3 linked regions of the Sus scrofa genome follow. The main gene of each other region encodes a partner of the protein of the gene in region 3 in a complex. Links are inferred from orthologs where the notes say so. Each region holds a gene or a part of one and is shown on either strand. Other genes may lie near its edges.

Region 1 (4,250 bases), on a different chromosome or scaffold from region 3:
AAGGGAAAATTTCCTGTACATAGTTTGTCAATTCAGATTTATATACAGAAAATTTCCTTGAGTGAGTCGTTTTCAATATTGTGTTGTATGTAAGTCTGTAAAACAAACTAAAAATAGTAAAAAAAATCCATTGTTAAATTCCTAAACATTAAATTACAGGAATGACTCCTTACTATTTAAAATTATTATTCATCTTCTTTGGTATAGGGTAAAATGGAGAAATCAATTCCATAGACATATACAATATAATTTAAATCAACTCTCTGTAGAAGTCGATCCAGACTTCTTTTCTTGATTGTTACTGTATGATTGATGTGCTTAAGAAGTGAGAAAGTCTCAGACACCATTTACCTTCAAATATTCACATTTCTAACAGCACCACCTTTTAAGATCACACCATGTATCCTGAAATACTTAAAGCAAGAAGAAAACTTCACTCCAAAAGACAATCTGAGAAATTTTCTTCCTATAACCAGGAGAGGGAATGGGTGTCATTGTAACCGGCAAAATGTGTGAAGATGCTCTTAGAAACGTGCCTGGTGGAGAGCGGTTATCTAGGACTATTTCCTTTCCAGAGTATGGTCTCATTTTTTATGACTCTCGCAGAGGAAGAGATCTGATGCAATGGTGAAAACCAGTGAGAGAGGGATTACAGACTGAATAAGGCATGGCGTCAAGACTGAATCCAAAAGGAGCAGGTCAACGCCGACAGAAAAAGAGGAAAGTATCAGAAAATAGCAATCGGTGATGCAGTGCTGCATATTTCCACCTGCTAACACATAAATAGTTTAGAGCTGGGTTTTGTAAACATCAAATTACTTTTCTAAGACATTCAACCATAAGTCAGCATATACACTTCCGTCATCCTTCCAGTTACTTAAAGACTTTTTGATTTTTAGGAAAAAATACCCTATTCCTTAGAGCTACTACTCTCTTTTCTTAAAACTGATTTTCTCTTTTCTCTAAAGTATTTTGCTTAACTCAGTATTATAACTGGTTCTCTTCTAGCATGTACTAAGACTTGTATTAGTCCCCAAACCACAAACCCCTTGTTCAAAAGTGCGAATTACCAGAAAAGAATTCTCTGTAAGAACTTCTAAACATAAAGGATTACTGATTTCAGGCATTCATCCTGGAGGTTTTGCTTATATTAGAAATAACAGGTCTCATGCTTCACAAAATCAAAATGACAATTTAGAGTCAGGGAATGAGAGGAAATGGGGAAAGCAGGGTGCTGGAAGTTCTTTTCCCGTAGGCTCTATATAGAATTGCTTTTGAATGACTCCTTCTGTGTGTCAGAAATCCGGAGCAGCAGTAGCAATTAGGGACGATGTTACTTTCACTGGAGGTTCAGGAGTGGGAGAGAGGGGCGGGGGGACAAAGGAAAGGGGAGGAGGAAGTGGGGAGCAGAGGGAGGATGAAGATGAAGGGCACATCCTGAAGAGATGCTCGTGACATCATCCCCGGCATATATATATAGGGAAGGGTCAAAGCATCTCTCATAGTTCAGTCACTTCCAAAGTCAGCTGGAGGCTGGAGGAAGCGCGAGAGAGTCCCTTCAGCTTGTCTCTGACGTTTATGGACTTGGCTTGCTAGAAGGCTCAAGATGATGATGGCAGGAATGAAAATCCAGCTGGTGTGTGTGATACTGCTGGCTTTCAGCTCCTGGACTCTGTGCTCAGGTAAGCTCCTTCTGCATTTCACAACTCCCTGAAGGGATTTCTTTTAATGGTTATTGTTGTTGTTGTTGTTTTGCAGTGTGTTGCTACTTACATTAATGCATTCAGGGAGAAGAGTCTCTCCCTTATTCTGGATTGGCTTTTGAGTGGCAGAAACTAGGTATTTTCTTGCTTTGTCCTTATGATCGCAAGAACTGAAAGATCTCTTTTTCATTTTTAAATCTGAGAGATAATAAAAGGGATTTTGGTGAAACACGTCATGGCCCCCTTTGCAGTGTAACCACTAGAGAAAACCAAAATATGTAAAACTTGAGTCAGGCTGGCCACTACCCAAAGAAGGAAATGTGAGAAAGTGAAAACCTGTAATTAAAACTGATTCCATTTGGGATGTTTGATCTTGTCCTCATTCATTCTCTTAGGATGAAGTGGCTTCTCTCTCCCACAAATTATTGTCTTAGTTGTATGTGTATTAAGATACAGTAAAAATTGATGTTTGATGAACAAATGAATAAAGCATTATTTGTGGAAATTTATTTCTAGAAAAATATTAAAAAAAACCAAGCTCTTTTACAAATACATTTAATGTCACTTTTCTATGTGACAGATAGGCATACTATTAACTGTTTTTTTGCATGTTATTTAAGTTGATTCAGGATGTAACTGGAAAATTGTCATTCTTATATTAAGAAAAATTATTTCCCTGCAGAGTATTTTGCCTGTGATAATTAAGAAGAAACCATACATTGCTAAATATTTATCAATAGCTGACTTTGAAAATAAGATTTAAATTTAAAAGAGTAACATGAAATATTTTAATGATTGCAATGTGCTCCAATTAATGTTTGAAAAATAACTGAATGATCACATCAAAATGAAAAAAAAAAAACAGAAGGGCAGCAAAAATCACTTAACCTGCTTTATATTGTTGTATCTTATAAATGTGACACTGAAATATTTCATTCAAATTCCTGATTTTATTTAAATTAATATAAATGTTACTTAACATTTTAAGTTTCTTTTTATCATTAGAAAAAGATCTTGAACTTCTAACTTGCAAATGTTTTTATGAGAAAAATATCAACTTTCCCACAATGATTTTACCTAATAGTTACATGAGTTTAAAGGTATACTTAGAGTATGTGAGAAAAATGTAATTGATTAAGTACAGTGTTTATTAACTCTGGAAATTTCTTGGTGTGATAAGCTAAAATGTGTGAAGATTTTGGGCATACATTTTTGACAAATGGCTAAAGGAATTAATCTTTCTTCTTGAAAAACAGATTGGACCTCTACAAAATAGGAGAAAAAGATCTCTGGTATAATTTAGTTCCTGGTACAATTTAACAAATGTGCCACTTCTCTTTTGCAAGAAATACAGAATCATTTTAATTTCTGCTTTGTTTTATGATATATATATAGCTCAATGAGTATGAGCTAGTTCATCTTGTCAGGTTCTAGAACTTTATTTCTATTACCTTATGGTATTTTCTAAAATTTTCTCCCCTGTAAAATATCCATTAGAGGAGACTGGGAAGGTTATTTTAAAAAAATCAGAAATCCATTTTCAACATTATTGCACATGTATTGATGGACAGCTCCACTTGTGCTTGAGCAATTTCCTTGATAGCCTGTGATAAAATTGCTAAGAGCACATAATTCTAAATTCTTGTTTAGTGTATAAAAACAAATCTTTCTAAGTGTGTTTGTAAAACAGCATCTGAAATTAAATATATTGCAGAGTCTTTCCTATTCTAAAATTATCAACATGCTATTCCCTTTGGTCTCGTCTTGAAAAGTGTCTTGTACATACCTTTTCTTTATGTTGTTTTAAAAAATCAATATGCATATATTCTATATATGTAAACTATTGCTAGTAAAACTTAACCAGCATATTGATGAAATCTCTATTATATAATATAATCAATTTTTTTTACACTGACATTTAGAGATTAAACAATTCCAAATCATCAGTAGCTCTCTTGGCATAAAATCACGTGCTTGTTTTCTTAAAAGTGTTTTTATTATCCTAATAGCCTAAAATAAAACTGTAATTGTTGTTCTGTGAATACTGTTTTAGGGAGAATAAATACAGAGGAGAGACAATAAATTTCTAAAACAAAATTTTTGAGATTCATCTTAAATCTCTGCTACAATTATATGATGTATGATTATATAGTAACATGTGGTTTTGATTTTACTCAGATTCAGAAGAGGAAATGAAAGCGTTAGAAGCAGATTTATTGACCAATATGCATACATCAAAGGTAACTTTTTCTTTTTTTTAAACCAAGGACTGGAAAACATATTCACTCTCCTTATAAACACAGTGTCCTTTTCCTATAGCAATAATTTCCCAGTGAGACTGAAGAGTTTATTGGGAGGCGGTCCCTTTTTGGGAAACTTTTCCTTAAATTTAAAGGATTAAGGGTGTTGATGTGACAGAGAAAGAAATTATAGGGATTGCAAATCATTATAATGAAATTTTAATTAGGTCATCATATATTATTTACATGGGCCTGCAAATTTGTTTCTAAAAACCCGCTTTCCATTCCAATCACATTGTGTATGATG
Region 2 (3,643 bases), on a different chromosome or scaffold from region 3:
AGGGTGGCTCTTTCTGTCTCTGACCCCCACAGAAAGCTGGGAGATTTCACTGATCGAAGAATCAGAGTCTGAGAAACAGGAAACTTGAAACTCCAGATTCTTGGAGTGGAAAGGGAGCCGAGCAGGGAAATCTCGCCCTCCTCATTTGTGAGCTGGGTGGGGGCCGGCTCGTGGGCAGCAGGTCTGAGGGAGGAGACGGCCCATCCCCCTCTTCCCCCCACCAATGACCTGGACTCAGGAGGGTCTGGGGATCAGCCCAGGGGTTAAAGGTGACGCCCCCTGGCAGTGCCCAGAGAAGAGACACTCACCAGGCGGTGTTAAGTGCCAGCGCCCTGGCCAGCGAACGCTGGGGGACTGGGTGGCACGGAGCAGCTGCCCCAGTTTGCCCCCTGGGAGGGGGGGCCACCCAGGGGGCTTGCTAGAGGTGAGGCTTCTGGAATGGGGCCCCCGGGGGGCTGGCAGTCCCTGACCTCAAAGGTGAAAGGGTAGGCGTGCTCGCCCAGCTTCTTGATGAGGCGCTCCTGCAGCCGCGTCAGGGGCTTCTTGTCCTCGGGGGCCGGCGGGAAGGACTGCACGTTGGCCACAAACAGGTCCTTGCGAAAGGTCAGGCCCAGGACATCCAGGTCCTCCCGGCCGTATCGGAAGGCGCAGGTCAGCGTCACGTAGACTGCGGGGGCAGGGGACACTGAGGAGGGGCCGGGGGGCCGGGGAGCAGCCAACACGCGCCCCAGCCCTGGGACTGGCTCCACCAGAGGCATGGATCTGTCCCTGGGCGCCTCCCCGGGGAAGGGCGCGCTGCCCTTGGGACAGGGAGGGGGGGGGGCCGTCAGGGGCCTGGCCCCTGGGACGAGGCGGGGGCTGACTGCTGGGTCCGTTCAGCTTTCCCCACCCCTCCCAACCCAGCAGCCCAGGGCACGGGGGCGAAGGGGCTCTGACGGGTTCACAGGGGCCGGGAAGGAGCACAGGGGAGTGGAGTCGGGGGAAAACAAGCCTGGGTGGTGTCCCGAAGTCATGAGGGCTTGCCCCGCCCAACCCCTGCCTCCCGCCTTCCTGCTGACCTCGGACCATCCCTTCGCCCCCCCCAGGAATCAGTCTTCTCTTCTGGACAGTGAGTGAGGGCCTAACTCCTACCCTGTTTGCATTCCCAGCCTCCCGACAGCATGATGGATGGGTGGGTGGATGCCAAGGGCATTAAGAGGGTCTCCCAAAGGGGGCGTGGCCACGGCCGCCCAGCCAGACGAGGCCAGAGCACCTGCTCTGACGCTGGTTAGAGCTGTCAAAGGAAGAGCCAGTGGGGAGGGACAGGGACCGGCTTGCTGCCTCTCCTCCTGCCAGCGTTCTGTCTGGGAGTCAGGGAGGCCTTGGGACTGGGGGTTCTGGGGGAGGAGAGGCCCCCTGACAGGCTGGCGGGGGGACAGCTCACCTCTCCTCTCCTTGAGATACTCAGGATCCACCAGGACCACGCCATCTGCAGGAAAAACAGAGAGTGAGCAGACTTGACCTCTCAAACTTCTGAGCCCCAAAGACCAAGTTAAATTCAAACCCACCCATCTGTCTGTCCAAAAGCATCATGAAAAAGAGGCGGAGGCCAGCAGCTCCCAGGAGACGAGTCCACTATGCCCCCCACCCCCACCGAGGCCAGCCTCACAGACCCAACAGGTTGTTTAACTTGCCTTTTTTTTTTTTTTTTTTTTTGGCTTTTTAGGGCTGTACCTGCAGCATATGGAGGTTCCCAGGCCTAAGGGTCCACAGAGCCACAGCAGCCCGGGATCCGAGCTGCATCTGCGACCTACACCACAGCTCACGGCAACGCCGGATCCTTAACCCACTGAGTGAGGCCAGGGATCGAACCGGCAACCTCAGGGTTCCTAGTCGGATTCGTTTCCACCGCGCCATGATGGGAACTCTAAGGTTATATAACTTCTGTTTCTTCATCTGGGAGATACTATGCTGGCTCCCAAACCCCAATATCAAGCGGAAAGGCCACGGCCACACCTTCCACAGATTCTCTAAGGTCCTCGGCAGGCTCTGTGCCAAACCCCTTAACACCCCTGCAGCGACACGGGCATCTGTTCACCGAGAGGCGAAGGCATGAATGGCCTCCCCTCGGTTCAGGTCAGGTTTGCCGCTAGTGAAATCCTGTATCAAGCCTATGAGCAAGTTGCAGCGCTCTAAGATTCTGGATGCGGGATGTAGGGATCAGGCTTCTGATTCTGGGCTACGTACCTCACAGGGCTCCTGTGAGGACCACGTGAATTAATGTGTGCAGAGGGTGGGAGAGTGCCTGGCACAGGTGACCCCATGGAGAATGTCCCAAGGCCTGGCCTTGGGAAGGCAGAATCCAGCTGAAGACAAAGGATGTTTTCTCTGCCCAGAACCCCAGGAGACCAGAAAGACTGGTTTGGGGGCACTCCCTCGCCTGTCATCCCCCATCTAACCCACCACCACCCCCATCCCACACTGGCCCACAGCCAGCCGCTCAGAGAAGCTCAGAGGCCACATTAGGAAGGGAGGGCCCTGCGAGCTCCTGGTCACCACCCCCCCCACCCCCAGTGCTGGGCAGGTCCAGGGCACAGCTGGTCAAGGGCACGCCCACCCCATGTCCAGAGCCTGCCGGGCCCCTTCCCTCCTTTCCTGGGGGGTTTCCTCTGTGCCTGGGCGCCAGGGACTGAGCGGAACCCCAGGAGGGGGACCCTGACAAGGGCACTCCCCTAACAAGGGGTCCCCCGGAAGCTCCCTGGGGGAGGGAAGCTGGAGCCAGGGCGTAACGGTCATCAGTTAGATGACCAAGGGACAGCCAGCCCATGGTGGCAGCGACAAGAGCCTTGCTCTGAGGCTTGGAGAGCTGATCCCGGAGGCTGGCGGAGGAAGGAGGGCCTGGCCCAGACCTTAAACGTCCGGTGTGTGAGGCTGGGGCTTGGACTTGCCCCCAAGTTTGAAGGGCAGCCAGGGGGATAGTTAAGCATCGGGAAGAACTAACCAGCTCAGTGCTGTAAGGGAGAAAGTTCTCTCTGCGGGTCATTTGATCAGCTCTGGCGTGCTCTGCGATCCACAGGGCCTGGCATGAAACGGGTGCCCTGTGGACACTTGTCAAGCCGTTCTCAGGGTGCCTGTGTGCATTGGGGGAGCCAGAGCCCTCCTGCTCCTGCCCCTCCCCTGGCCCCTGCGCCCCCACCACGACCCTCAAAGGCCCCGGCTTCAGACCGCCTGCAGGCAGCCCCGCCTTGGAGCCGCCACAGGCAAACACAGAGTCCTGCCTCCTGCCTCCAAGTTCAGGGAGAAGGGGGCATCAGGCAGAGGGAGCAGTGAGCTTCAGAGGACACCTGCTAGGGCTGGAGAGGAAAAGCGGGGTCCCCCTGCTCCAGGCCATGAAGAGAGGGGCCTGGAGGACTCTGGAGCCCGCAGCCTGTTCAAGGACCCCAGGGACTCCCCGGGTCTCCTGCCCCAAGGTCACAAAGGCCTTCCTCCCCGGAGCCAAAGCCTGTCACTCTGCTCTCTCTGCCCCCTCCCCTGCCCGGGGGGCTCTGGGACCACACGCCACTCCTCTTGGCCCCAGCACGGCCCCCAGGGATGTGATGACAAGCTTGCTGGGAATTTTCCCCCGGGCGACACATCCCAATGTCTTCACCTGGAATGGGCCTCG
Region 3 (3,643 bases):
GTCGAGATGGGGCGGGGGAAGGAGGGGGCCGTGACGCCTCTCCTGCTGGTGGGAGATTCCAGACAGGGCCGCTGGGTGGGAGGACAGGCTGACGGCCCTCCCTGGCCCGGCTCCCCACCTGTTGGCCTCCGGGGCCCTTCAGCTCCTTGGGCTGGTGGGAGGGGACGCCCCAGAGTCACAGGACCCTGGTCCCCACCTTCACTGGGCCTTGCCCGTGCCTAGGCCACAGATCAGGACCCTGAGCCCTGGGACCCCGAGTCCTGCACCAGCTGCTTCTCAAAGCTCAGGGGGGCAGGGCCTGAGCTGGCGCATCCTGCCCGGTCCCCGGGAAACGGGGCAGAGCGCATGCGTGTTGGCAAAGGGGCCGGGAGAGGGCTGTCTGCTGAGTGACGGCTGCACGCGGCCCGTGGCCTCCTGGGGAGCCGGGTCCAGTCGCCTTTATTCCTTTACTGAGTGTCGCTGCGGGACGTGTGCGCCGCTGGGGTCAGTGTACATCACGGGGTTTCGGCATCACTGCTGACCAGCCACACGGGCGCTGGACCCTGAGACCAGACACACACGGCACACAGAGCCGGCCTCTGGGGTTCCAGGGAGATGCAGCCAGAGCTGGGGAGGCTTGGGGGGGTCCGGCAGGGCGTAGACATGGGTCCCCACTGATGTGAAGTGGGCCGACAGGAGGGTCTGGGTGGCGGGCATCTCGCCCCACGTCCACTCTGCCCCCACCTCCGGGGCCGCCACGTCCAGGCCTGGCTGAGTGGGTGTAGTGACCACGCCTACATCTCGGGCGCCTGGGGAAACCGAGGCGCGTGGGAATCGCACTGTGCCCGGGGTCCAGGGATGGCAGGGCGGTCCTGAGGGCCAGGGCTGGCTGACCTCAGCCTCTCCGCTGGGCTCCTGCTCTCCCACCCAGAGCCGAAGCTCATGGGGAGCTCTGAGTGACCTCAGCCCCGTGCTGCAGCCACGGGGTCAGGGTCAGACTGCCTGCCCCGTTCTTGGTGAACAGCCTGGAGGAGGACTTTGGGGATGCAAGTCACATAGTGTTCACATCAGGGCCCAGATCCGAAGTGACCATGGACCACGGATGCTGTAGCATCCTGGGTGGGGGACTGAGTCCTGGCCGACCCCAGACTAGGCCCAGGTCATCGCCATCCACGCAGGTCCTCTGCCCGTCTGCCCGCCTGTCTCCCTTCTGGCGGGCTTGCCCCAGGCCCAGGGAGGACCTGCTTAAAAGGTCTGCGTCTCACTTCTGGCTCCGGCCACGCAGTGTCGCAGCTGGTCTGGGGCAGCTCCCCAGGGACCTGCCTTCCCGGGGCCATCCTGTCTGGAGACCAGCCCCCAGAGTTCAAGGGGGCATCTGCCCTTCTGGGTGCCCAGAGTGCCTCCTTCTCGCCTGCAGCCCAGGCCCCACAGCTGGCATCTCTCGTGACTCCCCTCTACTGCAGGGCATCCACTGCAGCGGCAGGAGCTCAGCCGGACAGGGGGAGTGAGAGCACGTGGGATGTCACTGGTCTGGCCACCGGGACCCCGCTGACCTGGCCTTGTGTCCGCAGAGCCGGGATGGAGGGCTTCTCGGCCGAACGGCCCTGCAGTGGCATCTGTGCAGAGCCTGGCTGCCTTGGCCTGGGGAGGAGTGGCGGGGAGGGGGCGGCCCGGGGCCGGGCTGACCCCTCACTGTCCTCTTGCCACATCAAAGCTTCCTAGGACCTGCCCTGGCAGAGCTGGAGAGCGGCCCACGGGGTCCTGAGTGCCTGGAGGCGCGACGGAGGCCCTCTGGTGCCAGGACAGCAGGGTCCTGCCGGCTGGCCTCCACCCAGCGCCGGCTCCCAGGGTCGCCCCCTCCTGACGGCTGCCCGGCTGCCCAGGGCCCGGCCCGACCTGCTGCTTTCAGTCCTTTTCTGTCTAAACATCCATTAGTCTGAGAACAAAGACGACTGCCTTTCACCTGACACTGAGTTCTCCCCATTAAGGCCCTTTTCGGTCTGGGAGGCTCGAGCTGTCTCTGGCTTTCAAAGGGGAGAGCGAGGCGGGCGCAGGGGAGGTGAGGGGGGGGAGAGAGGAGCAGCTCCCAGGACGGCTGGAGGCCAGCGGCAGCCCCTCTCTGAGTGCCCCCCCACCCTAGTACAGCGTTTCCCGGGTGACGTTGCTGGAGAAGGTGTGGTTGCTGGACACGCTGTTGGTCTTCCTGGAGAGGGCTGGCCTCTTCCTCCGGCGCCCCCACAGGGGACAGAGGCAGGCCAGGGTGGCCAGGAAGGCCTGGCGGAAGCTGGCGGAGACGAGGTTGTAGAGCACCGGGTTGATGGCGGAGCTGACGTAGAAGAGCGCGTTGCTGAGCATGTAGAAGTAGTGGTAGAAGTCGAAGAGGAACCTGCGCGGGCGGGACGGGGCGCTCAGCCGCGGCGGCGGGGTGGCGGCGGCTCGGAGCCCCGGCCACAGGCGACGTGGCCTTTTTGGACCCGGGGCTCCGGCTTCCCTGGAGAAGGGGGACGCTCAGCCCACACTCCCGCCTGGCCCGGGTCGGCGGAGCGGAGCTGCGGCCGCCCTCCCTCCAAGGGCCGCAGGCCTCGGCCAGAGCTTGGCCTGGATGGGGCAGCCAAGGCAGGGACCCCCTCCACACCCCCCAGACAGCTGTGCCCCTCATCCACAGCTTGTTTGCCTTCGTGCCCCAGGACGTCGCTCCTTCCCCAGGCAGCCCTGAGTTTCAGGACCCCTCCCCCTTTTAGGGTCGCACCTGTGGCATATGGAGGTTCCCAGGCTAAGGGTCTAATCAGAGCTACAGCTGCCAGCCTACACCACAGCCACAGCCACGCCAGATCTGAGCCACATCTGGGACCTACAGCACGGCTCGCGGTAACACCGGATCCTTAACCCACTGAGGAAGGCCAGGGACGGAGCCCGCATCCTCATGGATGCTAGCTGGGCTGGTTTCTGCTGAGCCATAGCGGGAGCTCCCAGAAACCATTTTGGGTTGTTCTCCCGCCTGTGACATCTCCTTATATCCATCCTGGACCTGCCCTCCCCAACACTCCCCGCTGCTAGGAAGGTCCCTCAGCCCTTGGACCCGGTGGCCTGCACGCAGAGCTGCTCACATAGCCGGGCTCAGGCTGCCACTGCAGGGCGCCCACGGGCCGGGGCCGTGTCCATACATGGCACGGCCTCACTGTCACGCATCGGCACGCGTGTGTGTGACGCTCTCGAGCCCCGGGGGTCCTTCCGGCAATTCCTACAGGCGGGGGTGGTCCAGGGGCCCCGACAGCTGCCAGCCCTCCCCCCACACCCAGCCCTCACTGTCCCCCTCCAGACGGCCCCCTACCTGCCTGTGTGGATCCTCCTCGGACCTGCTTTCCTGGTGCAGCCTCCGGGGGTGTCTGACCCTCTCTGGCCTCGCCCCTGCCTCCCGTCGCAGGCTCGCCCGAGGGCCACCGGATGCGCCCCCACCCCCCACCCCCGCCGGTGCCGGGGAGCATGGCGCGGCTCGAGCCCCCACCCGGGCTCCATACTCACGGGGTCCACTGCTCGTCGGAAATGTAGCAGAACATGAGGCGCCGCGCGTGGTAGGGCAGCCAGCAGACCACGAAGGCGATGACCACGGCACCTGCAACACGGGGGAGGGGAGGCCCGGGGACACCGTGAGGACGACGGCGCT

What was found.
Region 1: the proteins of NTSR1 (region 3) and NTS are in contact, whole or in part, in a crystal structure (PDB 4BUO), measured with the Rattus norvegicus proteins. The link is inferred for Sus scrofa from reciprocal best matches to the Homo sapiens genes NTSR1 and NTS. Residues at the interface, in NP_001102437.1 of Rattus norvegicus: Ser53, Asp54, Leu55, Asp56, Asn58, Phe128, His132, His133, Tyr146, Met208, Val224, Cys225, Thr226, Pro227, Ile238, Arg327, Arg328, Phe331, Cys332, Tyr333, Ile334, Ser335, Asp336, Trp339, Phe344, Tyr347, His348, Tyr351; in NP_001095851.1 of Rattus norvegicus: Arg157, Arg158, Pro159, Tyr160, Ile161, Leu162.
Region 2: the proteins of NTSR1 (region 3) and ARRB1 are in contact, whole or in part, in a cryo-EM structure (PDB 6UP7), measured with the Homo sapiens proteins. The link is inferred for Sus scrofa from reciprocal best matches to the Homo sapiens genes NTSR1 and ARRB1. Residues at the interface, in NP_002522.2 of Homo sapiens: Ser93, Leu94, Gln95, Ser96, Leu97, Gln98, Thr100, Val101, Arg166, Ile170, Pro173, Lys177, Phe286, Ser287, Met288, Ala289, Ile290, Ala297, Leu298, Gly301, Ser368, Asn370; in NP_004032.2 of Homo sapiens: Tyr63, Arg65, Asp67, Leu68, Val70, Leu71, Gly72, Leu73, Thr74, Phe75, Arg76, Lys77, Asn245, Thr246, Ala247, Gln248, Tyr249, Lys250, Lys284, Arg285, Gly286.

Annotation. Positions count from the first base shown.
Region 1 is NC_010447.5:96,270,103-96,274,352, reverse strand, and holds the start of NTS (neurotensin/neuromedin N), read left to right. Parts: upstream 1-1,405; 5' UTR 1,406-1,606; coding exon 1,607-1,682; intron 1,683-3,881; coding exon 3,882-3,943; intron 3,944-4,250. UniProt on the Homo sapiens protein: Neurotensin may play an endocrine or paracrine role in the regulation of fat metabolism. It causes contraction of smooth muscle.
Region 2 is NC_010451.4:9,540,164-9,543,806, forward strand, and holds part of ARRB1 (beta-arrestin-1), read right to left. Parts: intron 1,469-3,643; coding exon 1,424-1,468; intron 668-1,423; coding exon 471-667; intron 1-470. UniProt on the Homo sapiens protein: Functions in regulating agonist-mediated G-protein coupled receptor (GPCR) signaling by mediating both receptor desensitization and resensitization processes.
Region 3 is NC_010459.5:62,031,020-62,034,662, reverse strand, and holds part of NTSR1 (neurotensin receptor type 1), read right to left. Parts: intron 3,593-3,643; coding exon 3,502-3,592; intron 2,366-3,501; coding exon 2,116-2,365; 3' UTR 1-2,115. UniProt on the Homo sapiens protein: G-protein coupled receptor for the tridecapeptide neurotensin (NTS). Signaling is effected via G proteins that activate a phosphatidylinositol-calcium second messenger system.